Linked DNA regions of Anolis sagrei. The protein of the gene in region 1 binds, or shares a complex with, the protein of each later gene. Links are inferred from orthologs where the notes say so. Each region holds a gene or a part of one and is shown in the gene's direction. Other genes may lie near its edges. The genes, in order: VAMP7, STX18, STX4 and BET1L.

Region 1 (8,233 bases):
TTCAGTTTAATAAACCTTTTCCATTTTACAATAGAACTAATCAGGAAATGACATTTATAACCCAAGAAAAAATTGTGTTACATACTGTAATGGGACTGAGCTTGGAAGAGCACCAGCAGATTTGGCACATCTACCACCAAATCAGTAGAAGAAAGGCTTCCTATTTTAAGACCAATGGGGCCATAAAATGGAATCGGAGGCAGAACACTTTACCAAACATTAATTTTCTTTCATGTTTATAAAAAAATAATGGGAAAATTACTTATTTGGGTCTCAGAATCTCCAAACTATTGTTGGTCATGCTGAAAGGCTGTTTCTAAGGATCTATGGCCCAATCCAAGCTGTGATTCCTGACAGAAAAGTTCTTCTGTTGTTAATTTAATAGGCACTTCATTAAGAAGAAACATACTTACTCTTTCATGATCATGTACCGGAGAGAGTTGCCAAGAGTGTGGTCCTCATTGTGGAGCACAAAGGTGACACAGCTCTTATCTGAGCCTTCAGTTCGTACCTGTGGGAACAGCAGAGGAAGAGGACATTCATTTCCCCAAAACCATTCCATGGAAGTAACACATCTTCTTCTATGTACAGGCCATGTTGCTTTTCATGGAGATACAGCTTCTTAGCCCAGTGTCTACAATAATGGGGAGGGCTGGGGACTCATGGCTGAACAATGGCATGGGATGCAGGCCTTCTTAAGTAGCTATGAACCGCCAGCATTGGATGAGAAATACTGCTCAGACTTATTTATCATGTTAGAAGCAAATTGAGAATAAAGTTATAATGTATTAAAAAAAACACAAATTTGCCAATTGCTCAGGCTGTTTGGGTGGGAATCCTGAGCTTTGTCCCCTTCTCAAGGCAGGTCTCAAGACAGTTTTCTAATCTTAAAGCAATAACAAAAATTACTATTAATTCTTTATTCTGCCATTTCAATCTTATGTCTCCAAAATTTAATAGAAGTGCTATATTTGGATTTTAGGTATATTAATTGATAGTATGTCATTAATTTCATCAAGACATTTTTCTGCCTTTTCTCTGGTGCTCCGGGCTGTCTTCTGTCTCAGCAGCTGCTCTGTTCTGCTGCCACCTTCTGTCTGCTTCTGATATAACCCAGAATATCAAGGCAGATAATTCACAATATCTGCTTTGAACTGGGTTATCTGAGTTAACACTGCCATATCCAATTTATCAAAAAGTTTATTAAACTGCCAAAGATGGAGTGCACTGTATTGTTTGGAAACCTGTCCTTCAGGTTAACACCCATTGAAGGTGACCAGACTTTGTTCAACTGCCTTAGTGGTTGGCCAACACTCAGTGGTGTATAGAGCGACTGGTCTCACCACCGTCCTGTAGATTTTCAATTTTAGGTGGATTGGGATCTTCTTATCACACATTACATCTGTCATTGCTCTCCACTTCATCCATATGGAGTTTACATGTCCGTGACCATCCGACAGTACTTCGCAGGCAGAGGTTATCTTTGAGCCGAGGGATTTAAAGCTGGTCACTTTGTTGAGGTCAGTCCCCTTGATATTGATGGAGCCATCCTCTACTGTTGGTCCACATTCCATGTACTTTTTTGAGATGTTAAGCTGTAGTCCGAAATATTGCACATGATTTTTCCACACTTGCACTTGAGTCTGCAACTCTACCCATGACTCGGCGGCTAACATAACATCTTTGGCATACAGCAGCATCTAAGGATGTGGTTTCTGTATATCTCTGGTGCAAATGTGTACAAATTGATGGTGACCATGCTGAATAATAGTTTGGATAGAGGACAGTTCAGGCTATGATCTGGAGCAACTTCTGCTGTTAAATGTTCATTTATAACATTTTTATGATGCAGGAGGCAAAACTTTTTGGTCCACCTGCATATTTCTAGCACCCATTTTTTGCCAGTGCTTCTTGTAAGTCCAGAGTAACTCCCAGGTATTTGGGTGTGCTGCAATGCTCTAGTGGGACTCTTTCGCAGGTAATCCTCAGAGTTGTAAAAACATCTAAAGCTTCGGAGAGCTTCTGTTCAACCATGTTTATCAGGCATGGGCAAACCTGGACCTGCCAGGTGTTTTGGACTTCAACTCCAGGGGACAGTTCCATCTTGTCTCCTGCATATGTGATCAGTTGAGGACCCCCTCCCCCCAGCACCAACTACCGCTCTGGGCCAGAGTGAAGAGATGGGGGGGGGGGAAGGGGACAGTTCCATCTTGTCTCCTGCATATGTGATCAGTTAGGAACCCCTCCCCCCAGCACCAACTGCCGCTCTGGGCCATAGTGAAGGGGGGAGGCAGGGGACAGTTCCATTTTGTCTCCTCCATATGTCATCAGTTGGGGGGCCCTCCACTCCCATAAAATGGACTATCCTTTTCTCTCTATCGCCCCCTTGTAGCCTCTGCCCAGATAATGAAACAGTGCCCTTAAAACATTGTTCATTCGTTCAGTCGTCTCCGACTCTTCGTGACCTCATGGACCAGCCCACGCCAGAGCTCCCTGTCGGCCGTCACCACCCCCAGCTCCTTCAAGGTCAGTCCAGTCACTTCAAGGATGCCATCCATCCATCTTGCCCTTGGTCGGCCCCTCTTCCTTTTGCCTTCCACTTTCCCCAGCATCATTGTCTTCTCTAGGCTTTGCTGTCTCCTCATGATGTGGCCAAAGTACTTCAACTTTGTCTCTAGTATCCTTCCTTCCAGTGAGCAGCCGGGCTTTATTTCCTGGAGGATGGACTGGTTGGATCTTCTCGCAGTCCAAGGCACTCTCAGAACTTTCCTCCAACACCACAGCTCAAAAGCATCGATCTTCCTTCACTCAGCCTTCCCTAAGGTCCAGCTCTCACATCCGTAGGTTACTACAGGGAATACCATGGCTTTGGCTAGGTGGATCTTTGTTGCCAGTCTGATGTCTCTACTCTTTACTATTCTATCGAGACTGGACATTGCTCTCCTCCCAAGAAGTAAGCGTCTTCTGATTTCCTGGCCACAGTCTGCATCTGCAGTAATCTTTGCCCCTAGAAATACAAAGTCTGTCACGGCCTCCACATTTTCTCCCTCTATTTTCCAGTTGTCAATCATTCTTGTTGCCATGATCTTGGTTTTTTTTTATGTTTAGCTGCAATCCAGCTTTTGCGCTTTCTTCTTTCACCTTGAATAGAAGGCTCCTCAGCTCCTCGCTTTCGGCCATCAAAGTGGTGTCATCTGCATATCTGAGGTTGTTAATGTTTCTTCCAGCAATTTTCACCCCAGCTTTGCATTCCTCAAGCCCCGCACATCGCATGATGTGTTCTGCATACAAGTTAAAAAGGTTGGGTGAGAGTACGCAGCCTTGCCGTACGCCTTTCCCAATCTTGAACCAGTCTGTTGTTCCATGGTCAGTTCTGACTGTTGCTCCTTGGTCCTTGTACAGATTCCTCAGGAGAGAGACAAGGTGGCTTGGTATGCCCATCCCACCAAGAACTTGCCACAATTTATTATGATCCACACAGTCAAAGGCTTTAGAGTAGTCAATGAAGCAAAAATAGATGTTTTTCTGAAACTCCCTGCCTTTCTCCATTATCCAGCATCCGGATATTGGCAATCTGGTCTCTCGTTCCTCTGCCTTTTCTAAACCCAGCTTGAACATGGTATAGAACAATATAGTAATATATAATACTAATACTTGAACAATGGTATAGTACAATATAGTAATATATAATACTAATATTGTACTATGCTAATAATAGTATGAAAATATATCTTGTAAGCCGCTCTGAGACCCCTTCGGGGTGAGAAGGGTGGTATTTAAATGTTCTAAATAAAGAAATAAAGAAATAAACTCTCAGCATTCCTAACAACCTCAGGCCCCTTCCATTTCCCCCTCAGCCGCTTAAGCCTGAGGCTGTGAGGAATACTGGGAGCTGAAGTCCAAAACACCTGGAGTGCCCAAGTTTGCCCAGGCCTGATACACACACACTGTGCAGGTACAACTGTACCAGGAACTCCAATTTTGTTTGCTTTGCATTGAATGTTTGTTGTAGTCCTAAGTTTCAGGGACTCTGCAGATAGGTGGCTTCCTTTGGCTGCAATCATAGGGCAAGCCACCTGTCAATTATAGTTAGGTTCCCTGGTCCCGCCCCTTTTTGGGTTTTTGGAGGGTATAGGAGACTTTTTGGGTCAGTCCACACAGAGATGCCTTTCATGCAGGACATAATACCAAGAGCTCCTGTAGAAAGCTTCGTCTTCTACGGCTTGGCCGGGGAGATATACAGCCCACAGCTTGGCTGGGGTTATACAGCCCTACAGTTCCTTTGCTGAAGGACTTCAGTCAGCCATCACAGAAACCTGAACTCCTTTTCCCCTGGAAGTCTACAAAGCTCTGCTTGGTAAGGGTCATTCGCGGAAGCCAGGGTCTCCACGCCAACAGAGGCAAAGACAGGCTGCCCAGATTAGAAGTTAAGGATTTCCCCATTAGTTACAGTTATGAAGATAGTGCCTGTTCCCTGTGGACAAGACTGAGAGAGAGCCAATAGACTGTTAAGAAAGCCTTAAAGTACCTGTTTGTTTTCATTAATAAAGAACTTTGTTGAACCTTTAAGCAATCCAAAGACTCTGTTTTAAGGAAATCCAAAGGTCTTTAATCTGAGGCAGCCCCGGCGTCCCGTTGGGCACACAGAATTTATGTCCTGTCTACAGTCTTAATCACAGGCCCAGCGTGCGACAGCACACACACACATTCTGATATGGAAGGCATGGTTCAGAGAAAGGAAAGTCACATGTAGATACTGTACATCACTAAAAGGTGAAGACAGGAGTCACACTGCCCTCCCTCACCATCTGCAGAGACGGGGGCTTCCTCTTCTCCTCTTCCTCGCCCATCTTTCCCTCAGAAACAGACGAGAAACACTTCCGGTTTGTGTTGTCTACTGGCAGCTTTCCGGCCTCGCTCTTGTCGTCACTTCCTGTCTTTCCCCGGCGTCCGAACTCGGCTTCCCAGGAGCCTTTGCGGCCAGGGGCGGAAGCTCACGCGCTGCTGGCTTGTCCTGGAAGCTTGTCGATTACAGGACGGGGCCTGGAGGGTCCGGGCGGGCGCTTGGCCAGGTGAGGAGGCGGAAAAGCCGGGGAGAAGGAGAGGGGAAGAGACGGAACGGCGGTTCTCACCAAATAGGAGGCTTGGTTGCCGCTGAGGGAGGAGACCTGCCTCCTTGGTGGTAGTGAAGCCTCGGACTAGGCCACTGTTGCTATAGCAACGCCCCCACCCTCAGGTAAAGGGTTAGGCCTGACTGAAGCCTTCCTCCTTTCCTTCTCAATTGTGTCCTTCCACACAGCCATATAACCCAGAATATTAATGCAGGAAATCCTACAATATCTGCTTTGAACTGGGTTATATGGCAGTGTGGACTCGGGCCCCTACCACACAGCCATATATCTGCTTTGAATTGGATTATATACGAGTATAGATGTAGGCCTACCACACAAGGCAAATAACCCAGAATATCAAGGCAGATAATCCCACAATATCTGCTTTGAATTGGATTATATACGAGTATAGATGTAGGCCTACCACACAGCCATATAACCCAGAATATCAAGGCAGATAATCCCACAATATCTGCTTTGAATTGGATTATATACTAGTATAGACATAGGCCTACCACACAGCCATATAACCCAGAATATCAAAGCAGATAATCCCACAATATCTGCTTTGAATTTGATTATATACTAGCATAGACATAGGCCTACCACACAGCCATATAACCCAGAATATCAAGGCAGATCACCCCACAATATCTGCTTTGAATTGGATTATATACTAGCATAGACGTATGCCTACCACACAGCCATATAACCGAGAATATAAAAGCAGATAATCCCACAATATCTGCTTTGAATTGGATTATATACTAGTATAGACGTAGGTCTACCACACAGCCATATAACCCAGAATATCAAGGCAGATAATCTTGCAATATCTGCTTTGAATTGGATTATATACTAGTATAGACGTAGGTCTACCACACAGCCATATAACCGAGAATATCAAAGCAGATAATCCCACAATATTTGCTTTGAATTGGATTATATACTAGCATAGACGTAGGCCTACCACACAGCCATATAACCATGAATATCAAAGCAGATAATCCCACAATATCTGTTTTGAATTGGATTATATATTAGTATAGACGTAGGCCTACCACACAGCCATATAACCCAGAATATCAAGGCAGATAATCCCACAATATCTGCTTTGAATTGGATTATATACTAGCATAGACGCAGGCCTACCACACAGCCATATAACCGAGAATATCAAAGCAGATAATACCACAATATCTTCTTTGAAGTGGGTTATCTGAGGCCTCTTCCACACAGTTGAATAAAATCTGACATTTTCTGCTTTGAACTGGGATATATGGCAGTATGGACTCCCAATATAACCGAGGCTCCTTCCACACAACTGAATAAAATCCCACATTATCTGCTTTGAATTGGAATAGATGGAAGTGTGGACTCAGATATCCCAATTCAAAGGAAATTTGGTGGGATCTTTTGCCTTGATATTCTGGATTATATGGCTGTATGGAAGGGCCCTGAGTCCACACTGCCATATATATAATCCAGTTCAATGTGGATTTTATACAGCTGTGTGGAAAGGGCCCTGGTCAAGCTTCCCAGCCTTTCTTTCTCAGCGCTTTTCTTAATGTTGCTTCTCCTTTTTTCTTGAAGAGGATAACACTTGTCTCTGCTTCCTCCTCTTTAATGCTCTTGTGGGTCTCATCTCCACTGCCATATAATCCAGTTTCTGTATCCAGATTGTCTGCTTTGAACTGGATTGTGCGGTAGTGTAGATTCATATTATCCTGCCTCAGGGTGCATACTTTTTGCCCTGGGATATAATAGTAACAGTAATTACAATAATGCTTTATTTCTAGACAGCCCCCTCTTTCCAAGGGGACTCCGGGCAGTTGTCTTCCTAGGATGCAGTATGTATCATCCTTGGATTTGTAATTTGGAAAAGTGCTGTAGCTCTCTGAATGTGTATCAACTGTCAATTTATGACCACCCCATAGATTTCTTGAGGAGTTCTCAGACAAGGAGTGATCAGAGGTGATTTCATCTGTAGTGCTTGGCAGTCTCCCTTCTAGATCATAACCATTCCGCTTCCAAGATCAGACAGACTCTAGTGCCTTTAGGATATGTTTCCCTTAATGTCCTATGAAATTGCAGTCCTTAAAGGCTAGTGTGATGGGGCCCTTGGTGGTTTTGACTTTTGCAGATTTGATTGTTCATGGATTATATTTGATGTTTCTCTCTAGAAATCTCTAGCTCTTCGAGTACAATTCTTTGATCAACTTCTAGCAGACATCAACCATAGAACCTCAAATGGAACCCAGGGATGGCTTTTACCTTACATACTAATAGGTTCTCATATCTATTTGGTGTTTCAAAAACATTGCAGTAAAACAAAAGCTTTTCTCTGCTGATTCTTCAGCAGAGAAAACAAAAGATACCCTTGTATTAAGTGCACAAACACAGTGGGTCACGTAGTTGACTCAATCAGCGATTAAAACCAGTTAACATTGTAAGGCAAGATTTTAGGTGTCTGTATGGAAGGTTCACAGAACATTTGGAGAAAAAGCCCTGATGTGATTACTACATACTTTGCGAAGTCTGCGCAACAGCACAGGAGGACCATTCTCATCCTCCTGTGCTGCAGAAAGACCTGTATCTTTTAATCTTCTTTGACAAAATAAAGTGCCATCCTAGAACATAATGTCTTGAAGAGATTACATTTGAAAAGTCACAGTGACTATTCTTTTGTGTAAGGTTAGCGCCTGAAGGGGATATAAAATGGAAGTAATGTGAGTAGACAATAAATAATTAGTACCGTAGTATAAGCTAAGAAGGTTTTTAAAAAGCCTTTTCTGGATGGAGCAACTTGGGCAAGGAGCAACCGATTTTCCCTTTGGCAAACTATGTGGCTAGGATTGCATTAATACACTTCTGCTTTCTTGAATAGTTTTATACAAGAAGCAAGAGGCATAATAGGAAGCTAAGATTCCTTGCCCTTTAAGAAACTTTCTTACTGCAAGGGCTGCCATTGGATCATGTGCCCTAGTTTTTAAAAAAACCATTTGCCAAGTGTGACTTCTGTTTATGGTATTTGGGAGCTGGAGGAGACCTTCAAAATTACGTTGTCAGTTTGGCCTAGAGTCAAGATTGTGACTTGTTGTCATGCTTGGATTCTACCATCT
Region 2 (8,153 bases), on another chromosome or scaffold:
ATGGGCTGCTTACTGTAGCCAATTTTTTTTTTGTGGTGTCAGGAGCGACTTGAGAAACTGCAAGTCGCTTCTGGTGTGAGAGAATTGGCCGTCTGCAAGGACGTTGCCCAGGGGACGCCCGGATGATTTGATGTTTTTATCATCCTTGTGGGAGGCTTCTCTCATGTCCCCGCATGAGGAGCTGGAGCTGATAGAGGGAGCTCATCCGCCTCTCCCCAGATTTGAACCTGCGACCTGTTGGTCTTCAGTCCTGCTGGTACAGGGGCCTAACCCACTGCGCCACCGGGGGCTCCTTGTAGCCAAATGAATACTGATAAGAATCACAAATACCAACTAGTAGCATGGATTTTTTTTTAACCTTGGACCCATTCTGGATCTATTTTAGCATAGGACACATTTCGTTCTGGAGAAAGGCATACACACACCACCCTATGCAACAGCTATTTATATTACACTGTTTTAATCAAGTCACAACTTAAAAACAGTTCAGATGATGTAGCAAAGATTATTTGTTATCCTTACCTGGCAACTCAGTAAGGTGGCCTGTGGGTAGAGAAAAATAAAATAAAATGGTCTGGTTTTCAACGAGATCAAATTGTGAGGTCGTTTTTTCAATTCTTTGACTTCTGTTAACAGGGCTCCACATTTTAAGCATCAGAAGAACTTGAAATTATTTTCTTTTAACTTGGTGATCTATTAATGGAAATTGCTGTGAAGATAAGTCAACTTGGCAGAAGACTATTTAAGTTTGCAGGAAAATAATACAGAAGATGCCATCCTGCTGCTGGTTAAAAGCCAAAGAGTGTGTAATATGGCTCTGTTTTTTTCTTCTCTTCAACTAAAGTCTAAATATCCATTTAACTTCTAGGAGAAAAGGGGGTAGCTAGTATGTCATTCCCATCCAGTCAAATATCTTTCCCTGCCGTTTGAACCCATTGCTCCCTTGTGCCCTGGTCTCTAAAGCAGCAGGAAATCCTCAATGGGACACCTTCTGGAATCTTGAAACATGGTTCTCATGCTCCCACTCTACCTTCTCTTCTCCCAGCTAAACATCCACCCAGGAGGAAAGGAGGAAGGAAAAAGAGAAGGGAGGGAGGAAGAGATGATTGGAAGGAAGGTTGGAAGGGAATGGTTGGAGGGAGGGAGGGAGAGAAGGGAGGGAGGAAAGACAAAAGGGAAGGAAGGAGAAAGAGAGGAGGGAGGAAAGAGGGAAGGAAGGAAGGATGAAAAAATGGAAGAGAAGGAGGGAGGGAGAAAAGGGTAAAGAAGGAAGGAAGCGAGGGAGCGAAGGATAAGACAGTGGGAGAGAGGAGGGCCTGAGAAAAAAGTCCAAGGGGCTGCATTTGGCCCCCAGGCATGGGTTTATCCACACCTGGTCTGACACATCACCTCTTAACTTTCTCTTCTCCAGTCTAAACATACCCGGCTCCCTAGGCTGCTCCTCATAAGGTTTTGGCTTCCAGGCTACTTTTGGTTCCTCTCAATAACAATATCCTTCTTAAATTGTGGTGCCTAGAACTGGACGCATTATTCCTGTGAGGTCTGATCAAAGAGTGGAGTCAATAAAATAGATAAAACAAGACAATCATTTCCCTCAATCTGGGCATTATACTATTGATGCAGCCTAGAAAAGTATTGGTTTATTTAGCTATCACACCACACTGTTGACTGTGTGGAAGGGGCCATAAAAAACACAACAAAATCCCTACAAATCAGGGTTTACTAAATTGCTATTGAATACACAGGGCATGGTTTTAATGTTGTTTTGTTTAACAAATAGCTGTAAGGAACTTTTGGCAGCTAAATAGGCAGACATTTGCAGGCAGTGGCCTCTTCTGGTGGCAAAGGAAACCAACTCTCAGATCAATAAATGCAACAATTTTTATACAGCAGCACCTTTTGCGCTAAGAGTGCCTTGGACTGCGAGAAGATCCAACCAGTCCATCCTCCAGGAAATAAAGCCCGACTGCTCACTGGAGGGAAAGATACTAGAGACAAAGTTGAAGTACTTTGGCCACATCATGAGGAGACAGGAGAGCCTAGAGAAGACAATTATGCTGGGGAAAGTGGAAGACAAAAGGAAGAGGGGCCGACCAAGGGCAAGATGGATGGATGGCATCCTTGAAGTGACTGGACTGACCTTGAGGGAGCTGGGGGTGGTAACGGCTGACAGGGAGCTCTGGCGTGGGCTGGTCCATGAGGTCACGAAGAGTCGGAGACGACTGAACGAATGAACAACAACAACAACCTTTTGCGCAGGGAGCACGTTCCCAATGATACTATGAAACAAAATTTGGGAGTAAAAAATCTGTTCTTGGTTTGAAAGGGTTATTTCCTTAATTGTGCGGTACTTACTTTGAAGTAAGACTTTGATGCAGACTGCAGCCAGAAAATCAGATGCTTACTTCTTGGGAGGAGAGCAATGACCAATCTTGATAAAATAGTGAAGAGTAGAGACATCACACTGGCAACAAATATCCTCATAGTAAAAGCAATGGTATTCCCCGTAGTCACCTATGGATGTGAGAGCTGGACCTTAGGGAAAACTGAGCCAAGGAAGATAGATGCTTTTGAATTGTGGTGTTGGAGGAAAGTGCTGAGAGTGCCTTGGACTGTGAGAAGATCCAACCAGTCCATACTTCAGGAAATAAAACCCAACTACTCATTGGAGGGAAGGATATTAGAGGCAAAGATTAAGTACTTTGGCCACATCATGAGAAGACAGGAAAGCTTAGAGAAGACGATGCTGGAGGAAATTGAAGGAAAAAGGAAGAGGGGCCAACCAAGGGCAAGATGAATGGATGGCATCGTTGAAGTAACTGGCTTGATCTTGAAGGAGCTGGAGGTGGTGATGGCCGACAGGGAGCTCTGGCGTGGGCTGGTCTATGAGGTCACAAAGAGTCAGAAGAGGACTGAACGAATGAACAACAACAACATACTTTGAAAGTAGTTGTTATACCCCAGAAACTTTGTTTTTGTGGCTGCCACAAACAATGTTGAATTGGTTGAGACTGGATGAGAGAGTCATTGAAAAACCATAGCAAAATGTGCTGCAGGATAACATGCAAACACAAAGTTTTGTCTGTTTAATAAAAAAAATCTCATTTTCTTATGATAGAACCAATTCGGAAATGGCATTTATAACCCAGGAACAAAAATCGTGTTGCATAGTGAAATCTCCTTGGGATTCACAGCTGTGAATATGGCATCGCGGGAGAGAAGTGTCCTTAGGAGGGCGACTAAAACAATCAAGGGTCTGGAGAACAAGCCCTACAAGGAGCAGCTTTCACTTTCATTACACCCAAGGCTTTTTCACTCTTAACACATACAGATTTTCAGGGAAGTCATGCTACCTGTCTATTCTGCCTTGGTTAGACCACATCTGGAATACTGTGTCGAATTCTGGGCACCACAGTTGAAGGGAGATGTTGACAAGCTGGAAAGTGTCCAGAGGAGGGCAACTAAAATGATCAAGGGCCTGGAGAACAAGCCCTATGAGGAGCGGCTTAAAGAGCTGGGCATGTTTAGCCTGAAGAAGAGAAAACCGAGGAGACATGGGTTGTTGTAGGTTTTTTCGGGCTATATGGCCATGGTCTAGAGGCATTCTCTCCTGATGTTTTGTCTGCATCTAGGCAAGCATCCTCAGAGGTAGTGAGGTCTGTTGGAGCTAGGAAAAAGGGTTTATATATCTGTGGAATGACCATGGTGAGACAAAGGACTCTTGTCTGCTGGAGCTAGGTGTGAATGTTCCAACTGACCACCTTGATTAGCATATAATGGCTTGACAGTGCCTAGAGCAAACTTTTGTTGAGAGGTGATTAGATGTCCTTGTTTGTTTCCTCTCTGTTGTTGTGCTGTTGTAATTTTAGAGTTTTTTTAATACTGGTAGCCAGAGGAGACATGATAGCCATGTATAAGTATGTGAGAGAAAGTCATAGGGAGGAGGGAGCAAGCTTGTTTTCTGCTTCCCCGGAGACTAGGACGCGGAACAATGGCTTCAAATTACAAGAAAGGAGATTCCATCTGAACATTAGGAAGAACTTCCTGACTTTTTTTTTTATTTCGTGTCAGGGCAGCCAGTCAATTATATTACATTTCTAACAGAACAAAGCAAACAAACAGAGAAAATACAAAATTTGTGAGTTTGGTAGTTGATTAAATGTCCTTTGACCAGTATCTGGCCACTTGGAGTGCTTCTGGTGTTGCTGCAAGAAGGTCCTCCATTGTGCATGTGGCAGGGCTCAGGGTGCATTGGAGCAGGTGATCTGTGGTTTGCTCCTCTCCACATTCGCATGTCAAGGATTCCACTTTGTAGCCCCATTTCTGAAGGTTGGCTCTGCATCTCGTGGTGCCAGAGCACAGTCTGTTCAGCGCCTTCCAAGTCGCCCAGTCCTCTGTGTGCCCAGCGGGGAGTTTCTCATTTGGTATCAGCCATTGGTTGAGGTTCTGGGTTTGAGCCTGCCACTTTTGGACTCTCGCTTGCTGAGGCGTTCCAGCGAGTGTCTCTGTAGATCTTATAAAACTATGTCTGGATTTAAGTCGCTGACGTGCTGGCTGATACCCAAACAGGGGATGAGCTGGAGATGTCTCTGCCTTGGTCATTTCACTTCCTGACTGTGAGAGCTGTTCAGCAGTGGAACTCTCTGCCCCAGAGTGTGGTGGAGGCTCCTTCTTTGGAGGCTTTTGAACAGAGGCTGGATGGCCATTGTCGGGGGTGCTTTCAATGCAATTTTCCTGCTTCTTGGCAGGGGGTTGGACTGGATGGCCCACGAGATCGCTTCCAACTCTATGATTCTATGATTCTAGGTGAGAATCATGCCATGCTTCAAAATGAGATGCAGGAAGAAAGCAGTCCAAACATCTTTGGGGGACGAGATTACTCCACTACAGGAAGTCCCTACAGGAAGTGAGAGGTTGCCAAGGAAACGTTTTATGAGACATGTCAATTTCAGACAGGGCGAGGGCGTCACCAAGAGGGCACTCAGTGGAGGCGGAACCTTCGGGCGCGGCCCAGTTGCGAGAGGGAAGGCTTTGAGGAAAGGACGCGTGGGCAGGAGAGGCCCGCCCACCTGCCCGCCTCAGCCCAGCCATGGCCGTGGACATCACGCTGCTGTTCAAAGCCAGCGTGAAGACGGTGAAGACCCGGAACAAGGCGCTCGGGGTCCCGCTGGGCGGCAGCGGAGGCAGCAGCAGCGACTCCTCCCGCGATGAGGCCCTCCTCATCCTCAAGCGCTCCCGGCCAAGGAGCGACTTTTCCAACCGGGCCCGGGAAGTGGTGAGTCCTCAGGAAGGAAGGAAGGAAAGCTAGCAGGGAGGGAAAGCAGGAAGGCTGCGACGTGGCTCTGGGCTCCTTCCGGGAGATTTTAGGGGAGAGAACATAAAAAGGAGTCTCAATCCTATTGAAAGGAATGACATTTGGGAATCAGTCATTGAACCCAATGGGATTTCCTTGTGAGAAAGTCAGCTTAAACCTCAGAGCCCCTCCAAACAGCTGTATGGCCCAGAATATCAAGTCAGATAATCCACAATATCTGCTTTGTACTGGATTATATGAGTCCACACAGCCATATAATCCAGTTCAATATGGATTTTATATAGCTGTGTGGAAGGTGCCTCAGGGCCCTTCCACAAATCCCTATATCCCGGAATATCGAGGCAGACAATCCCACATTACCTGCTTTGAACTGGGTTATCCGAGTCCACATTCCGATAATGTGTGATTTTCTGCTTTGATATTATGGGTTATATGGCTGTATGGAAGGGCTCTTAGAGGTTTCTCATTACATTTTTGCAACATACCTATATGCATAGGCAAACACTTGTGGCTGAATATGAGAATATAATATTAATAATAATAAACTTTATTTATACCCCGCCACCATCTCGCCAATGGTGGAGCCCCTAGTGGCGCAGTAGGTTAAACCCCTATCTGAAGGTTGACAGGTCGCAGGTTCGAATCGGGGAGAGGCGGATGAGCTCCCTCTATCAGCTCTAGTTCCTCATGCGGGGGACATGAGAGAAGCCACCCACAAGGATGATTTTTTTTTTTGTCGTGTCAGAAGTCGCTTCTGGTGTGAGAGAATTGGCCGTCTGCCAATTTTTTTTGTCACATCAGGAGCGACCTGAGAAACTGCAAGTTGCTTCTGGTGTGAGAGAATTGGCCGTCTGCAAGGACATTGCCCAGGGGACACCAGGATGATTTGATGTTTTTATCATCCTTGTGGGAGGCTTCTCTCATGTCCCCGCATGACAAGGATGATAAAAACATCAAATCATCCTGGTGTCCCCTGGGCAATGTCCTTGCAGACGGCCAATTCTCTCACACCAGAAGCAACTTGCAGTTTCTCAGGTCGCTCCTGACATGACAAAAAAAAATATCCCCAATGAGGACTCGGAGCGGCTTACATGAGGCAAGCCCAAACAACAAATTACAATAAAATAAAACCAAAAACGCAAACAATAAACAACAGCAACATAATTACATAGAACATGTGAAAAACATAGCAATATAAAATTACAGTAGGCACAATCACAATGACAGTGGGCGGATTACATGTAATGGTTAAAAGAGAGACTGATTAAAAACTGATTAAAACTCAGGTGAGATAAGAAAGAAACAGATTATTTGCAGAGGAGGGCTCATTATAGTGGTGGTTGTGGGATCAGGCTTTCCCACAAGGGAGGGCATGTACTCTAATGACAAAGTGTTGATGCACTAGTATGAAGATGTAAACCTATTCATCAAAAGCGCAGCGGAAGAGCCAGGTATTAAGGTTCTTTTTATGATTGTCTTCTGGAGACAGAGCCCCCTTCTAAACTGCCATATAAAATCCAGATTATTTGCTTTGAAATGGATTATATGGCACTGTACACTCATATAATCCAATTCAAGTCAGATGATGCGGATTATTTGCATTGACAATCTGGATTATGTGGCAGTGTAGAAGGGGCCTCATATAATCCAGTTCAAAGCAGGTAATGTGGATTTTATATCGTAGCCCTTCCACACAGCCCCATATCCCAGAATATCAAGGGTGAAAATCCCACTATATCTGCTTTGAACAGGGGGCCCTTGCACAAAGCCCTGTATCCCAGAATATCAAGGCAAAATAAATAAATAAATAAATCCCACGTTATCAGAGTATGGACTTGGGGCCCTTCCACACAGCCCTATATCCCAGAATATCAAGGCAGAAAATCTCACAATATCTGCTTTGAACTGGGTTATCTGAGTTCACACTCAGATAATGTGGGATTTCCTGCCTTGATATTCTTTGATATAGAGCTGTGTGGAAAGGCCTTAAGTCTGTCATTTATGTGTTCACAAGAGAGGTGTTGAAGCTTAGTAGGGAAGATGGACCAACTACCACAGTTCAGATATGCATTTCCGTATCACATTTCTCTTGGTGTTTTCCACTTTTTCTGTAGTTCTTAGGTGAGTTTGAAATCGGCATAGAAGGAAGCAGTGTCGGTGTGTGACTGATTACATTGGAAACACTGGAACTGGTTTGACACCTGTATAGTAATTTCATATAACGCAGAGGTTGACCGTGAACCAGTTCTAGGATCCACAGTATCTGTGGGACTTGATAAATGCAGAGAATGTGGGGGGTTTTTTTTTCAACCCTCTCCACCGGAATGTACATCCTTCGATCAGCAGAGTGTTTTGGGTTTCTGCACAGTGATTCCCATTCTACGAAAGGGGTTTTCTGTGAAATGTGGTTTACACTAGAGTGTGCTTATGTGCATTAAGGACTTTATTTTGGACTTTCCTCTGACTGTAGTGAGCTTGATTTAAAGCCCTTAAAGTGCACTGAGGTATGCCTTTGAAGTGTGTGTAGCCTAACCACCACACACTGAAGAATGGTCAGTGTAGATCTGTCCTTAGGCTCATTTGCTATTTTATTTGTATGTGTATTGGTGCTGGTGGTGAGGATCTCTTTCTACTTGATATTGATAAAGCATCAATACAGGTTGAGCAGCCTTGACACAAAATGCTTAGAACCAGAAGTATTTAGATTCTGCCCCCCACCCCAATTTTGGAATACTTATATTTGCATATTTGTTGTTGCTGTTCATTCGTTCAGTCGTTTCTGACTCTTCGTGATCTCATGGACTAGCCACGCCAGAGCTCCCCGTCGGCCGTCACCACC
Region 3 (7,666 bases), on another chromosome or scaffold:
TAGGTTTACGGTGCGGTTCAGGGTTGGGGTAAGGATTAGGGTTTCACCGTTAAAGAACTCTTAGAATCCTTCTATATTATCTGTCTCCGGCCTGGCTTACATTAGCTTAGTCTATGTTGCGATGCAGCATCTCCATAACACTCGGAGCTTCCGCAACCAGCTATCATACTATTACCCTTGGGCCCTCCCGGTGTTTTGAACTTCAACTCCCACAATTTCTAGCAGCCTCAGGCCCCTTCCTTTTGCCCGTCAGCTGCAGCTGCAGGAAAAGGAAGGCGCCTGAGGCTGCTATTTTTTATTTATTTATTTACGACATTTATATGCCGCCCTTCTCACCCCGAAGGGGACTCAGAGCAGCTAACAAGATATATATACATACAATATATTATATTATTAGCATAGTACAATATCAGTATTATATATTACTATATACTATTGTACTATACCATTATATTGTAATATTAGTAATATTACATGTAATATAAAATATATAATTATAATACAGGGTTAGTCAAAATGCATAGGCCAATAAGCCATTCAATTGAATGGCTTATTGGCCTATGCATTTTGACTAACCCTGTATATGATTATTAGTACTATATTGTATTACATTACAATATTATAAATATATATACAGGGTGAGGCAGCATAACTTCCTTTTTTAAAATGCAGTTAAAAATGTAGCGGAGCGAGAGGCGGGAGCAAGCCTGAACCCCTAACCCCCCCCCCCAAAAAATTTTCAGGTAAAAAAAAACTTGGTTTACTCATTAATTTTAACTGGTTAACCAAATCCCCATGCTAAGTCTATGAGACGCAAAAAATTAAGAGTCCCTCCAGAACTGCAAGCACTATCTCAAACAAATATCGACAATTTATTCACACTGTCATTAGCTGATGTAGCGCAGCAACCAAGTTGGGGGGGGGGGGTGTTGAATGCTCTCATTAAGGAGGCCAGACTTGGTGGAGGTGGTTGACAGGGGCAGAGCTGCAGGCTATTGAAAGCTGCTCTGCCCCTGCTGTGCTCTTTGCTTCAGCGTGAGCTAGGAGGCAGGTTTCAACCCCCCCCCCCCCCCTGAAATTTTCTGGGTACGGCCCTGGGCGGGTATAAAGTTTTGTCCTGACACAATTCATTCGCCATCATGCATTGGAACAGTGAGGAGCGTGATTTTGCCGTTGAGGCCTACTTTTCGAGCGGATTTGGAGTGGCTGGCCTGCTCTCCAGATTTGGCCCCTTGTGATTTTTTTCTATGGGTTTTTTTGAAATCCCGTGTTTATGTGAACCGTCCAAGGACCCTACAATATTTCAAGACCAACATCCAGGAAGAAATTGCCAACGTAACTCCTGCTACGCTGGCAAGAGTAATGACAAACGCCAGAAATCGGTTTACTCAGTGTATGGAGAATGGGGGACGTCACCTACCTAATTTGATTTTCAAAACTACGTGAAACAAAACTTTAGGTATGCGCCTACATTATGAAAAAAAATTCTGATTCAAATTCTGTTATTATATAAAAAATTCAATAAAAATTATTATTTAAAAAATTCTGATTCATACAATGAGTTTTATTAAGTTTTAAAAAAGAAAGTTATGCTGCTGCACCCTGTATTCCATGAAATATAAATATATAATTATAATGCCATATTATTATTATTAGTAGTAGTAGTAGTAGTATTATATTGCATTACATATTAACCTCACTTTCCTAGTATCCAACAGACCCCTCAACCTCGGAGGATTGAAAAAAGGAAATTATGCTGCCTCACCTTGTATCTACAATACATTATATGACATTATATTATAAGCATAGCACAGGAGATAAGGTGGAACTGTCCCCTGGCCCCCCTCTCTTCACTCTTTATGTTAGGAATTGTTCTGGAACAGCTGTTCCAAGAGCTCCAATTTTGTTTGCTTTGTTATAGTCCCAAGTTTCAGGGACTCTGCAGATAGGTGGCTTCTTTTGGCTGCAATCATAGGGCAAGCCACCTGTCAATTATAGTTAGGTTCCCTGGTCCCGCCCCCTTTTTGGGGTTTTGGAGGGAATAGGAGCCTTTTTGGTTCAGTCCACACAGAGAAGCCTTTCACAGGACAGAATACCAAGAGCTCCTGTAGAAAGCTTCGTCTTCTACAGCTTGGCTGGGAGATATACAGCTTTACGTCTTGGCCGGGGAGATATACAGCCTACAGCTTGGCCGGGGAGAAAAGGCCTCACAGCTTGGCTGAGGATTTTACAGCCTTACAGCTCCTTTGCTGAAGGACTTCAGCCAGCCATAACTGAAACCTGAACTCCTTTTTCCCTGGAAGTCTACAAAGCTCTTCTTGGTAAGGGTCACTCGCGGAAGCCAGACGCAGTTGGTACCAGGTGTAAGGGCTCCACGCCAACAGAGGCAAAGAAACACTGCCCAGATTAGAAGTTAAGGATTTCCCCATTAGATAAAATACGTCATGAAGATAGTGCCTATTCCCTGTGGACAAGATTGAAAGAGCCAATAGACTGTTAAGAAAGCCTTGAAATACCTGTTTGTTTTCATTAATAAAGAACATTGTTGAACCTTTAAGCAATCTAAAGACTCTGTTTGGGGGAATCCAAGGGCCTTTAATCTGAGGCAGCCCCGGCGTCCCGTTGGGCACACGGAATTTATGTCCTGTCTACAGTCTTATGCACAGGCCCAGCATGCGACAGCACACCCCTCAACCTTGGAGGATTGAAAAAAGGAAGTTATGCTGCCTCACCTTGTATATACAATATATTATATATTGTATTATTATATTACATTATATTACATTATATACAATATATTATATACAATTATATACAATATATTATATTACATAAGCATAGAACAGGAGACAAGGTGGAACTGACCCCTGCCCCCCCCCCCCCCTTCACTCTTCATGTTAGGAATTGTGGAAGTTCAACAGTTCAACAGTGACAAATGCAAGATACTCCACTTTGGCAGGAAAAACGAAATGGGGGATGCCTGGCTTGAGAGCAATACGTGTGAAAAAGATCTTGGAGTCCTCGTGGACAACAAGTTAAACATGAGCCAACAATGTGATGTGGGGGCAAAAAAACCCAATGGGATTTTGGCCTGCATTAATAGGAGCATAGTGTCTAGGTCCAGGGAAGTAATGCTACCCCTCTATTCTGCTTTGGTTAGACCACACCTGGAATATTGTGTCCAATTCTGGGCACCACAATTCAAGAGAGATATTGACAAGCTGGAATGTGTCCAGAGGAGGGCGACTAAAATGATCAAGGGTCTGGAGAACAAGCCCTATGAGGAGCGGCTTAAGGAGCTGGGCATGTTTAGCCTGAAGAAGAGAAGGCTGAGAGGAGATATGATGTTGTTGTTGTTGTTCATTTGTTCAGTCGTCTCCGACTCGTGACCTCATGGACCAGTCCACGCCAGAGCTCCCTGTCGGCCGTCACCACCCCCAGCTCCTTCAAGGTCAGTCCAGTCACTTCAAGTGACTGGGAGATATGATAGCCATGTATAAATATGTGAGAGGAAGCCACAGGGAGGAGGGAGCAAGCTTGTTTTCTGCTTCCCTGGAGACTAGGACGTGGAACAATGGCTTCAAACTACAAGAGAGGAGATTCCATCTGAACACGAGGAAGAACTTCCTGAGTGTGAGAGCCGTTCAGCAGTGGAACTCTCTGCCCCGGAGTGTGGTGGAGGCTCCTTCTTTGGAAGCTTTTAAACAGAGGCTGGATGGTCATCTGTCAGGGGTGATTTGAATGCAATATTCCTGCTTCTTGGCAGGGGGTTGGACTGGATGGCCCATGAGGTCTCTTCCAACTCTTTGATTCTATAAGTTCAAAGGACTTGGAGGGCCCAAGTTTGCTCTATGCCTGTCCTATGGCACTCATTACCGATGAATTAAAAAAAAGACATCCGGTGGAGTGACAACATCCGGCAGCGGACATATTGCAGATGAGCTTTCAATGTATACGCCTGACGTCACTTCCTGTTTTTAAACCCTAAAATAATTACTCCATTGAAGCAACTTCTTAATGTGAAAGGTGGGGGGGAAAATTGATTGAGGATCGTTTCCGTAATAGCATAAACACACGGCTTTGGAGTCTTTTAACGCCTCCGGGCCGCACCTCATCTTCCCGTCGACTGTGAGGAAAAAGAGGAACTGGCTTCTCCAGAGGCGAAAATGGCACAGCGCATGCGCACTACGGAGATGTCCTGTCTATAGCTCCGGGAGGAGGGCGGAGCGAGGAGCGCCAAACAGATTTGAGAACAGAGCGCGCGCATGCGCAGCCTTGTGCTCTCCCTTCTAGTTCCAACCCCTCCCCCTTCACTCCGCTTCCTCACAGAGTTGTGAGAAAAAAAAAAAAAGAAGATGAGGGACCGAACGCACGAGCTCAGAGAGGTAAGGAGCACATCACCCCCTCCCCCTCCCCCCCGCAATCCGCACGCGCGCCCTCTTTCTCCCCCGCGCGCCTGGCCACGCCCACAACGGTCGCTGAGGCCCCGCCTCTCTTGGTGGCGCGAGGGGACTCCGCTCTTCCGTTCATCCCCCCCTTCCCCCTCCGTATATTTCTGCTTCGTTGGCTGTTCCTGTCACACTCCCTCCGTTGGGAGGAGGGGGTGTTCTGTTTTCCTCCATCTTTTTTTGGCCCTTATTTCTGCCTCTTTTTCATCCTCCCATGACAATAGTGTTGCTTTCCTGGGCTTCCCCTTTCTTTTTTTTTAGTGCCTAACAAAGTTGTAACCCCTAAAGTAACCTAAATATAATAAACTAGCTGTGCCCTGCCACGCGTTGCTGTGGCCTATAGTAAAACTTATCAAAGTTGAGGTAGATATCTGGACTATTATGAAAGAGAGGTCCCTACCTATTCCTTCCCCCTTTTCCTCCCCCTTTCTCTCCTTTCTTCCTTCTCTACCTCTTTCTTTCTTTCACTACTTGGTTTCATCCTTCTCTTTCCTTCATTCCCTCCCCCTTTCTTCCTTTGCCTTTCTTCCCTCCCTATTTGCTTCCTTCTTTCACTTTTTATTTCCTTTTATTTTACCACCATCATAACAATAACAATAATGCAATGCATTGCCTCTGGGACCTGACACCTCTCCCATTCCCCTAGGGTCTCATAGGAACAATAGCATAATAATAATAATAATAATAATAATAGTAATAATAATAATAGAAATGTGGCCAATCTTCCCTCTTTCTCTCCTTCTTTCCCTCCTTCCTTCCTTCCCTCCCATCTTTCCTTCTCCTCTTCTTTCTCTATCTCTTTCCTTCCTTCCCCGTTTCTTTCTTTTCTGCTGTCTCTCTTTTCTTTCCTTCCATCTTTCCTTTTCTTTCCTTTTCTTCTTCCTTCTTTCTCTAACTTTCCTTCCTTCCCCCTTTTTCTTTACCTCCCTTTCTCTTTCTTCCTTCTTTCCTTCCTTCCTGTCTTTCCTAGATTTTGACAGGGCAGGAAGGGGCGGGGTGGGGTTTGGAGGTGGTGTGAAGTAAAAGGAGGTAAGATTGGGGCGGGGGAGTGATGGAGCATGGGGTTGCGTGTGTGTGTGTGGCGGCTGGGGGAGTGATGGAGCGTGGGGTTGCGTGTGTGTGTGCGGCGGCGGGGGAAGTGGGGTTGCGTGTGTGCGTGCGGCGGCGGGGGGAGTGATGGAGCGTGGGGTTGCGTGTGTGTGTGCGGTGGCGGGGGGAGTGGGGTTGCGTGTGTGCGTGCGGCAGCGGGGGGAGTGATGGAGTGTGGGGTTGCGCGTGTGTGTGCGGCGGCGGGGGGAGTGGGGTTGCGTGTGTGTGTGCGGCGGCGGGGGGAGTGATGGAGTGTGGGGTTGTGTGTGTGTGTGCGGCAGGGGGTGTGTGTGTGCGGGAAGCGGCGCGGCGGGGCTTGGAGTGGGCAGAGGGAACGTTGGCCGGAAGGCCATGTGCACGCGCCAGGGAACTTGCGGCTGGGCGCCAATGTGCATGCTCAGTTGTTTTGCCGTTTTGTGAGTGTGTTGTTGTGTTGTTTTTCATTTTGAGTAGATATGTTTGTACCTTGTGGGTTGTGTTATGAGCATGGGAATTTTGGTTAAGTTTCGTTGGGGTTTTTTTGAGTTTTATTCTTTTGCCGTTTTGTGAGTGTGTTGTTGTGTTGTTTTTCATTTTGAGTAGATATGTTTGTACCTTGTGGGTTGTGTTATGGGCATGGGAATTTTGGTTAAGTTTCGTTGGGGGAATTTTGAGTTTTGTTGTTTTGCCGTTTTGTGAGTGTGTTGTTGTCTTGTTTTTCATTTTGAGTAGGTATGTTTGTACCTTGTGGGTTGTGTTATGGGCATGGGAATTTTGGTTAAGTTTTGTTGGGGGTTTTTTGAGTTTCGTTCTTTTGCCGTTTTGTGAGTGTGTTGTTGTTTTGTTTTTCATTTTGAGTAGATATGTTTGTACCTTGTGGGTTGTGTTATGGGCACGGGAATTTTGGTTAAGTTTCGTTGGGGGATTTTTGAGTTTTGTTGTTTTGCCGTTTTGTGAGTGTGTTGTTGTGTTGTTTTTCATTTTGAGTAGATATGTTTGTACCTTGTGGGTTGTGTTATGGGCATGGGAATTTTGGTTAAGTTTCGTTGGGGGTTTTTTGAGTTTTGTTTCTCCGTTGGATGCCCCTAACAAATTTATATATATAGATGTAAATGATCTATATTTAGTCTTGAGTTGAAGTCTCTCCTCATGAAATGTAGCCACAAAAATGGAAGGAAAGGAGGTGGTTGTGAATCTATATAAATAATGTCATGTTAGTTTGTGGGGTTAACATAACTCAAACAACACAGGGTGGATTGACACCAAATTTTGACACCAAATTTGTATTAATTAATTAATATATTAAAAATGTAATGTAGTTTGTGGGATTAACATTACTCAAAAAACACTGGGCGGATTGACACCAAATTTGTATAATTAATTAATCTATAAAAATAAAAATGTAATGGTAGTTTGTGGGATTAACATAACTCAAAAAAACACTGGGCGGATTGACACCAAATTTGTATTATTAATTAATTAATCTATAAAATATAAAAATGTAATGTAGTTTGTGGGATTAACATAACTCAAAAAACACCGGGCAAATTGACACCAAATTTGTATTATTAATTGATCTATAAAAATAAAAATGTAATGGTAGTTTGTGGGATTAACATAACTCAAAAAACACTGGGCGAATTGACACCAAATTTGTATTATTAATTAATCTATAAAAAATAAAAATGTAATGGTAGTTTGTGGGATTAACATAACTCAAAAAACACTGGGCGAATTGACACCAAATTTGTATAATTAATTAATCTATTAAATATAAAAATGTAATGTAGTTTGTGGGATTAACATAACTCAAAAAACACCGGGCAAATTGACACCAAATTTGTATTATTAATTGATCTATAAAAATAAAAATGTAATGGTAGTTTGTGGGATTAACATAACTCAAAAAACACTGGGCAAATTGACACCAAATTTGTATTATTAATTAATTTATATAAATAAAAATGTAATGTTAGTTTGAGGGATTAACATAACTCAAAAACCACTGGGCGAATTAACACCAGATTTGGACACAATACACCTATCAGGCCAACGAATGACCACTCATAAAAACACTGAGAAATACAGAAGAGACTTAAAAAGCCAAAAAAAGTACAACGCATGCTCAAACACACACGTATACACATATA
Region 4 (7,451 bases), on another chromosome or scaffold:
CCTCTTTGGAGGCTTTCAAGAAGAATGGGTCATCTGTTGAGATGCTTTGAATGTGATTTTCCTGCTACTTGGCAGGGGGTTGGTCTAGATGGCCCACGAGGTCTCTTCCAACTCAATCATTCTATGATTCTATGATCAACACTTTTGCATAAATTGGTACATATTCTGTAATTTGGTAATAGACTGAGCTTCCCTTATCCAAAATGTCTGAGGCTACAGTGTTTTGGATCCCCCCCCCCCCCCCCCAGATTTTGGGATATTTGCATATACATTTGATTAAGACATATATTAAGATGGGCCCAAAATCTAAACACCTAATTCATTTATACTTTATAGCAGGCATGGGCCAACTCCAGCACTCCAGGTATTTTGGACTTCAACTCCCACAATTCCTAACAGCCTACCAGCTGCTAGGAATTGTAGGAATTGAAATCCAAAACACCTGAAGGGCTGAAGATTGCCCATGCCTGCCTTATAAACATAGCTTGAAGATAATGTCACACATATTTTAAATCTGTTTGAAGTCTGTGTGCATTGAACTACCAAAAAGCAGAGATGCCAGTCTCTTGGCCATCTATTTTCAAATTTGGAGTATTTCAGAATTTCAGGTAAGAGATGCAACTCAGCAGGTGTATTTCCCCTATAGGGGTCAATATAAACATTGTTGAGTGCACTAGCAGAAACAGATATTCAGAAATTATTTAATATTTTACACAAGTCAAGCCTGGACTTGTTATGAACAAAAATGTAGGTCTGGAATCAGACCTGGGATGACAATAATAATAATAATAATAATAATAATAATAATAATAATGGGCTGTTGTAGGTTTTTTGGGCTGTGAGGTTAAGGATGCTTGCCACAGATGCAGGCAAAACGTCAGGAGGGAATGCTTCTAAAACATGGCCATACAGCTGAAAAACCTACAACAACCCAGTGATTCCAGCCATGAAAGCCTTCAACAATACAACAACAACAACAACAACAACAACAACAATAATAGCTTTATTTGTATTCCTAGAGAACTCAGGGCAGATTCCAACAACAGAAGGAAAACAAAACATTTAATGCCTATACAATAAGAATAACAAATACAAATGCATTAACAAACCGCCCAAATCCCAAAAAAGTGAATGTATATCACTTTAAAATGCACATAAATCAAGTTTACAACCACATATCAAATTAAACAAACAACTCACTTAAAATTAATTTAAATTATATCTAATATGAAAATATAACTCTGGCATCACAAAGAATTCACAAGAATCAATAATGTATTTAATTATTTACCCTATTTATATCATCTTTCTCTACCCCAAGGGGGATTGAAGGCAGCCAACATATGGTAATTATTCAATGCTTTAAACACATATTATTTATTTATTTGCAAAGGGGACTCAGAGCCACTTACAAGATATATATACATAAAATATATTGTATTATTAGCAAAGTACAATATCAATATTAAATATTACTTTATTGTACTATACCATTATACTGTAATATGATTAGTAATATTACATGTAATATAAATATATAATTATAATATATTATTATTAGTATTATATTGCAATACATTATAATATTATAAATATTATATGTATATACAATATTAAAATATTACTATATTGTACTATACCATTATATTGTAATATTATTAGTAATGTTACATGTAATATAAATATATAATTATAATATCATATTATTAATAGTAGTATTATATTGCATTACATTATAATATTATAAATATTATATGTATATACAATATGTTACATTATATTACATTATTAGCATAGCATAGGAGACATACAAACATTAAGCTTAAAATCCACTGAATTAAAATGAATACATAATTTAAAAATTTAAAAAATTACATTCAGCATTAAAATCACGCCATCCATAACATCTACACCGTAGAAATAATGCAGTTTGACACCACTTTAGCTGTAGTTTTATAAGGCTTCCTCTGCCTGGGAGTGCTGGTGCCTCATCAAACTACAACTCTCATGTTCCAGAGCATTGAGTGATGGCATTTAAGGTGGTGTCAAGCTGGATTTCTTCTAAAGTGTACGCGCATCCAAGGTTTCATTTAGCCAAGCCTTGTTTACATCCTCCAAAAACCCATTGGATTCCAGTCTTGCCCAGATATCTACCTACCTTTACAAAAGGGGAGTGGTTAGGAAACATTTCCCAATCTGGTTTCCTTAATCCAAGATACAAAGTGACATATTATGATCATCGTGATTGGGATCATATCAGTATGCAACCCTCCTCCCAGCAAGCCCAGCCACCCCATTTATTGGGGAACCCAAGGGAACCCCAGGAAGGGGAAGGGCGGCTTGTACCTTCCTTTGCAGCCGAGCTGCTTGTGGTGGGAAGTCAGTCTCTTCGCCTCATTCCCTGCTGCTGCCTCCTCCTTCCTTCCTTCCCCCAGGACAAGAAAGGGAAGCCAAAAGGAAGGAAAGGCAGCCAAGAGGGGGCGCCAGTTGCCGGAGGACACCAGCACTCTTTGGCAGAGGATGCTAAAGTCTGGGTTGCTGTGAGTTTTCCGGGCTGTAGGACCCATGTTCCAGCAGCATTCTCTCCTGACGTTCCCTCTGCATCTATGGCAGGCATCCTCAAGGGTTGTGGGGTCTGCTGGAAATTAGGAAAATGGGGTTTATATATCTGTGGATACTCCAGAGTGAGAGAAAGAACTCTTGTCTGCGTGAGGCAAAGCAGCCAGGCTTTGAAGCTGCAAGGCTATTCGATGCTAATCAAGCTGGCCAATTGCAACATTCACACTTGCATCAAAAAACGAGAGGAAACTAGGAAAATAGGGTTTCTGTGGAATGTCCAAGGTGGGAGAAAGAACTCTTGTCTGCTTGGGGCAAGTGTGAGGCAAAGCAGCCAGGCTTTGAAGCTGCAAGGCTATTTGATGCTAAACAAGCTGGCCAATTGCAACACTCACACTTGCCTCAAACGGACAAGAGGAAACTAGGAAAATTGAGTTTCTGTGGTATGTCCAAGGTGTGAGAAAGAACTCTTGTCTGCTTGGGGCAAGTGTGAGGCAAAGCAGCCAGGCTTTGAAGCTGCAAGACTATTCGATGCTAATCAAGATGGCCAATTGCAACATTCACCCTTGCCTCAAACAGACAAGAGGAAACTAGAAAAATGAGGTTTCTGTGGGATGTCCAAAGTGGGAGAAAGAACTCTTGTCTGCTTGAGGCATGTGTGAAGCAAAGCAGCTAGGCTTTGAAGCTACAAGGCTATTCAATGCTAATGAAGATGGCCAATTGCAACATTCACCCTTGCCTCAAACAGATAAGAGGAAACTAGGAAAATGGGGTTTCTGTGGAATATCCAGGGTGGAAGGTGGGAGAAAGAACTCTTGTCTGCTTTGTGTGAGGCAAAGCAGCCAGGCTTTGAAGCTGCAAGGCTATTCGATGCTAATCAAGCTGGCCAATTGCAACATTCACACTTGCCTCAAATGGACAAGAGGAAACTAGGAAAATGGGGTTTCTGTGGAATGTCCAGGGTGGGAGAAAGAACTCTTGTCTGCGTGAGGCAAAGCAGCTAGGCTTTGAAACTGCAAGGCTATTTGATGCTAATCGAGCTGGCCAATTGCAACATTCACACTTGGCTCAAACAGACAAGAGGAAACTAGGAAAATGGGGTTTATGTGGAATGTCCAAAGTGGGAGAAAAAACGTTTCAATGTTTCAATGGACTACCTTGGTTAGTATTCAGTGGCCTAGCTGTTTCAAGGTCTGGCTTCATACTGCCTGGGGGAATCCTTTGTTGGGAGGTGATTAGCTGGTCCTGATTGTTTCTTGTCTCCAGACAAGAAACTCCCCTGTTTTTGAGTGTTGTTCTTCATTTACAGTGCTGATTTTGTTAGGTACTGTTAGGAATTGTGGGAGTTGAAGTCCAAAACACCTGGAGGGCCCAAGTTGGCCCATGCCTGGTAGATGCACTCCAAGACAGGCAGGACAGAAGATATTTAGAGGGGGGGGGGGAAGAAACCAGATTTGTGTAAGGACAGAAGAGAAACCAAGAAACTTGGTTCCCCCTTTTTATAGTTTATTTTTTTTGTAATTAATTTGCCAAGAATGGGGCTGGACTGGATAGCCTCTAGGGTTCCCTTCCAGCTCTATCATTCTGTAAACCTTACAGAGGCAGCAACCTACGTCACAAACAGGGGCGGGGCCAATGCTCTTGGATGCCCGAGGCGGAGAATCCAAAGGGCAGCCACTTCCTGTTCCTGCCCTCAAGAAACATGGCGGCCCATTCCCACTCAGGGAGCATGCCCTCTGGAAAAATGGCGGTCTAAGCCGCACTCTTCCGCTCTCGGGGGAGGCGCTTATCCAATCCCCGCCCCACGGCCTCCTTGCCCTCTTCCCTGATTGGTTCGTTTGCAGATCGATTGCCCTCCTTGGCACCGCCTCTCGCCTTGGCTCCGGATGGGACACGGAGGCAAGAGGCAGCCATGGCGGATTGGGGCCGAGGTAGGAAGGGAGGGAGGGAGCGGTGTCTGAGGGGAGGCGGTAGGCCTCGGAGGGAGGAGGAGAGTGGGCGCCCTTCGTTCTGCCCTAGTTAAGCCTTCCCTTTGTTTTGGGGAGAGGGCCCTCCTTCCCGTTGAAGCAGGCCTGGGCAAACTTGGGCCCTCCAGGTGTTTTGGGCTTCAACTCCCACCATTCCTAACAGCCTGTAGGGCCGAAGGTGGCCCAGGCCTGCTTTAAATGGTTCTCCCCCCACGTCTCCTTTGTTTTCTTTCACAGAAATGCCCTTTGACAGCTGAAATAGTGAGTCAGGCACAGTATTGCCCATCTTAACTCCATAGCATTGAGTCATGGCAGTTGAATCTGTTTCAAACTGCATTAGTTCACAAGTGTAGACCCACTGAATAAAAAGAAAAGGAATTATTCATGCCGGAAATTCTTGAGACCAGAAGTATTTTGGATTGTGGCATATTCACCTATATTAAATTAGGTATCCTAGAGATAGGACTCAAAAGCTAAACAGGACATTCATTTGCTTCATTTGTATATATGTGTATATATGTTATTATACATTATTATTTGATACACAAAAAGATTAGTGCACAGCAAGCAAGAACGCTGTGCTGGCTTTTGTATTTGATTACACTTCAGACACATCCCAAGTATCTGTGTGATGTATTAGGAAATAATGTATGCAGAACCAGGTAGGGTGGCCTATTGCAACTGACAAATGGTAATATTGTAGGCGCCGACTGTTTTTAAGTGCAGGCCAAGGTATTTAGGCACTGTACCCAGTGTGCCGATCACCACTGGGACCACCTTTACTGGCTTGTGCCAGAGTCTTTGCATTCATTTATGATACATTATCATCATCATCATCATCATCATCATCATCATCATCATTAAGGAGCCCCCGGTGGCGCAGTGGGTTAAACCCCCCCTCCCCGTGCCGGCAGGACTGAAGACCGACAGGTCGCAGGTTCGAATCTGGGGAGAGGCGGATGAGCTCCCTCTGTCAGCTCTAGCTCCTCATGCGGGGACATGAGAGAAGCCTCCCACAAGGATGATAAAAACATCAAAATCATCCAGGCATCCCCTGGGCAACATCCTTGCAGACAGCCAATTCTCTCACAACAGAAGGTACTTGCTCCTGACACGACAAAAAAAAATCATGTTTATTTATACCCCATTTTATCTCTCCGAAGGCAACTAAAAGTGGCTTGACATTAACACATCAGCATAACCATTTAAAATATACAAGTATTGTTGTTGTTGCTATTATTACTTATATTACTTATATTATTACTTGTTACTTATAATATATTATTACTTTATCTCCCCAAAGGTGACTAAAAGCAGCTTGACATAAAAGCATCAGCATAATCTTTTACAAATATACAATTAGTATTATTATTATTATTGTGGTTATGTTTGTTTATACCCTGCTTTATCTCCCTTGAAGGCAGCTCAAAGCAACTCAATATAAAAGCATCAGCATAAACATTTACAAATATACAAACATTAAAACAGGATTAAATATAAACAGTATTCAAAAACTTTGCTTAATTTGTTGAGTCACTGGCTTATTTATTTATTGTTTATTCCTATCCTTACAATCAAAAGGAAGGCTACAAGTTAAGAATAACTTTACATAGCCTAAGAGTCCTTTCATAAACAGTTTTAAAGAATTTCAGGCATGCAGCAAAGTTCGTATATACTGATCCATCAGAAAGCAAATGTCTTGCTACTTTCTTATTTCAGTGGACTTCTGTCCTTCCCCAAAATGTTTGGGATGGCTGTGTTTTGGATTTTTTCAGATTCTAAAATCCTTGCCTATCAGTAATGAGACATCATGGAGATGTGACACCCACAACATTCATTTATGATTCATACATGCATATATAGCCTCAAGGTTGTTTTATATACAAAGATTTTTTTTAAAATAATTTTGTGCGTGAAACCAGGTTGGACATATTGAACCCTTAGAAAAAACAAAGATGTTACTTTCTCAGCCATTGTGCTGAGATTGGATTTGGGGATTTATGAATAAGGGATATTCCAACCCTGTATTTCCATTATTGGTTTCTCCATTTGTTCTGCTTTCATTTTGGGTGGTTATGTGTGGAAACTGATTTTTTTTAATACTGTTACATTTAATTCTGTTTTAATATTTGCATATTTTTATATTTAAAATTATGTGGTCATACTTTTAATGTAAGCCACTTTGAGTCTCCTTTGGGAGAGATAAAGCGGGGTATTGGTGAGGAGGAGGAGGAGGAGGAGGAGGAGGAGGAGGAGAAGAAGAAGAAGAGCAATAATAATAGTAATAGTAATAATGGTGGTTACATGGGGTTAAGCAAAGTTCTCCAATTATGGATCCTGGCTGGACAGCAGTAGAAAAAGAGTGTGGCATTAAAGAATATAAAATGGTTATATGAGACACTGTTTTTATTGAAATGCATGTAAACTACCAGCATGACTTTCTATGACGGCAATGGGAATTTTTCCACATACTGGGGAAAATGCTGTGTTCTGTGGCTGTGAATACAGAGCAAGAATCCATTAGCACATGCACCATGTCTATACAGAGCATGAATCCATTAGCAGTAGCAGCCATGTCTACATCATGTTGCAGTGAGTTTCACAGTTAAACTTTGAAACTCACTGCAACATGATGTAGACATGGCTGCTACTGGAATGGCTTGAAAGAGGGTTTCCATATATTCAAAGAGGGAGGAGCCATCAATGGCTGCTACTTTGGGTTGCCGTGTGTCCATCGCTGGGGCTTGTGAGATGGAGTTGTACTCAGGTCTTGCTGGTGGTTTCTGCTGCATGTGGTCCTTTGACTTCATCTATTGTGAATTTCCTTATTCCTGTAAAAATACTGCAAAGTATGGCACTTTGCTTCTGAAACTGGGTCTCATGATGGCTCACAAGATTAAAAAGAATGGAGAAGTTATAACATTAAAA

The links.
Region 2: VAMP7 (region 1) and STX18 share a complex: the UniProt entries of both Homo sapiens proteins name them as parts of the SNARE complex. The link is inferred for Anolis sagrei from reciprocal best matches to the Homo sapiens genes VAMP7 and STX18.
Region 3: VAMP7 (region 1) and STX4 share a complex: the UniProt entries of both Homo sapiens proteins name them as parts of the SNARE complex. The link is inferred for Anolis sagrei from reciprocal best matches to the Homo sapiens genes VAMP7 and STX4.
Region 4: VAMP7 (region 1) and BET1L share a complex: the UniProt entries of both Homo sapiens proteins name them as parts of the SNARE complex. The link is inferred for Anolis sagrei from reciprocal best matches to the Homo sapiens genes VAMP7 and BET1L.

The regions. Positions count from the first base shown.
Region 1 is NC_090030.1:14,746,524-14,754,756, reverse strand, and holds the start of VAMP7 (vesicle-associated membrane protein 7), read left to right. Parts: upstream 1-4,958; 5' UTR 4,959-5,072; intron 5,073-5,126; exon of another isoform or gene 5,127-5,236; intron 5,237-8,233. Other genes in the region: DNA-directed RNA polymerases I and III subunit RPAC2-like, read right to left, coding at 414-511, 4,806-4,850. UniProt on the Homo sapiens protein: Involved in the targeting and/or fusion of transport vesicles to their target membrane during transport of proteins from the early endosome to the lysosome. Required for heterotypic fusion of late endosomes with lysosomes and homotypic lysosomal fusion.
Region 2 is NC_090025.1:106,541,856-106,550,008, forward strand, and holds the start of STX18 (syntaxin-18), read left to right. Parts: upstream 1-5,019; 5' UTR 5,020-5,089; coding exon 5,090-5,275; intron 5,276-8,153. UniProt on the Homo sapiens protein: Syntaxin that may be involved in targeting and fusion of Golgi-derived retrograde transport vesicles with the ER.
Region 3 is NC_090026.1:14,722,770-14,730,435, forward strand, and holds the start of STX4 (syntaxin-4), read left to right. Parts: upstream 1-4,252; 5' UTR 4,253-4,355; coding exon 4,356-4,385; intron 4,386-7,666. UniProt on the Homo sapiens protein: Plasma membrane t-SNARE that mediates docking of transport vesicles. Necessary for the translocation of SLC2A4 from intracellular vesicles to the plasma membrane.
Region 4 is NC_090021.1:237,756,731-237,764,181, reverse strand, and holds the start of BET1L (BET1-like protein), read left to right. Parts: upstream 1-4,383; 5' UTR 4,384-4,468; coding exon 4,469-4,487; intron 4,488-7,451. UniProt on the Homo sapiens protein: Vesicle SNARE required for targeting and fusion of retrograde transport vesicles with the Golgi complex. Required for the integrity of the Golgi complex.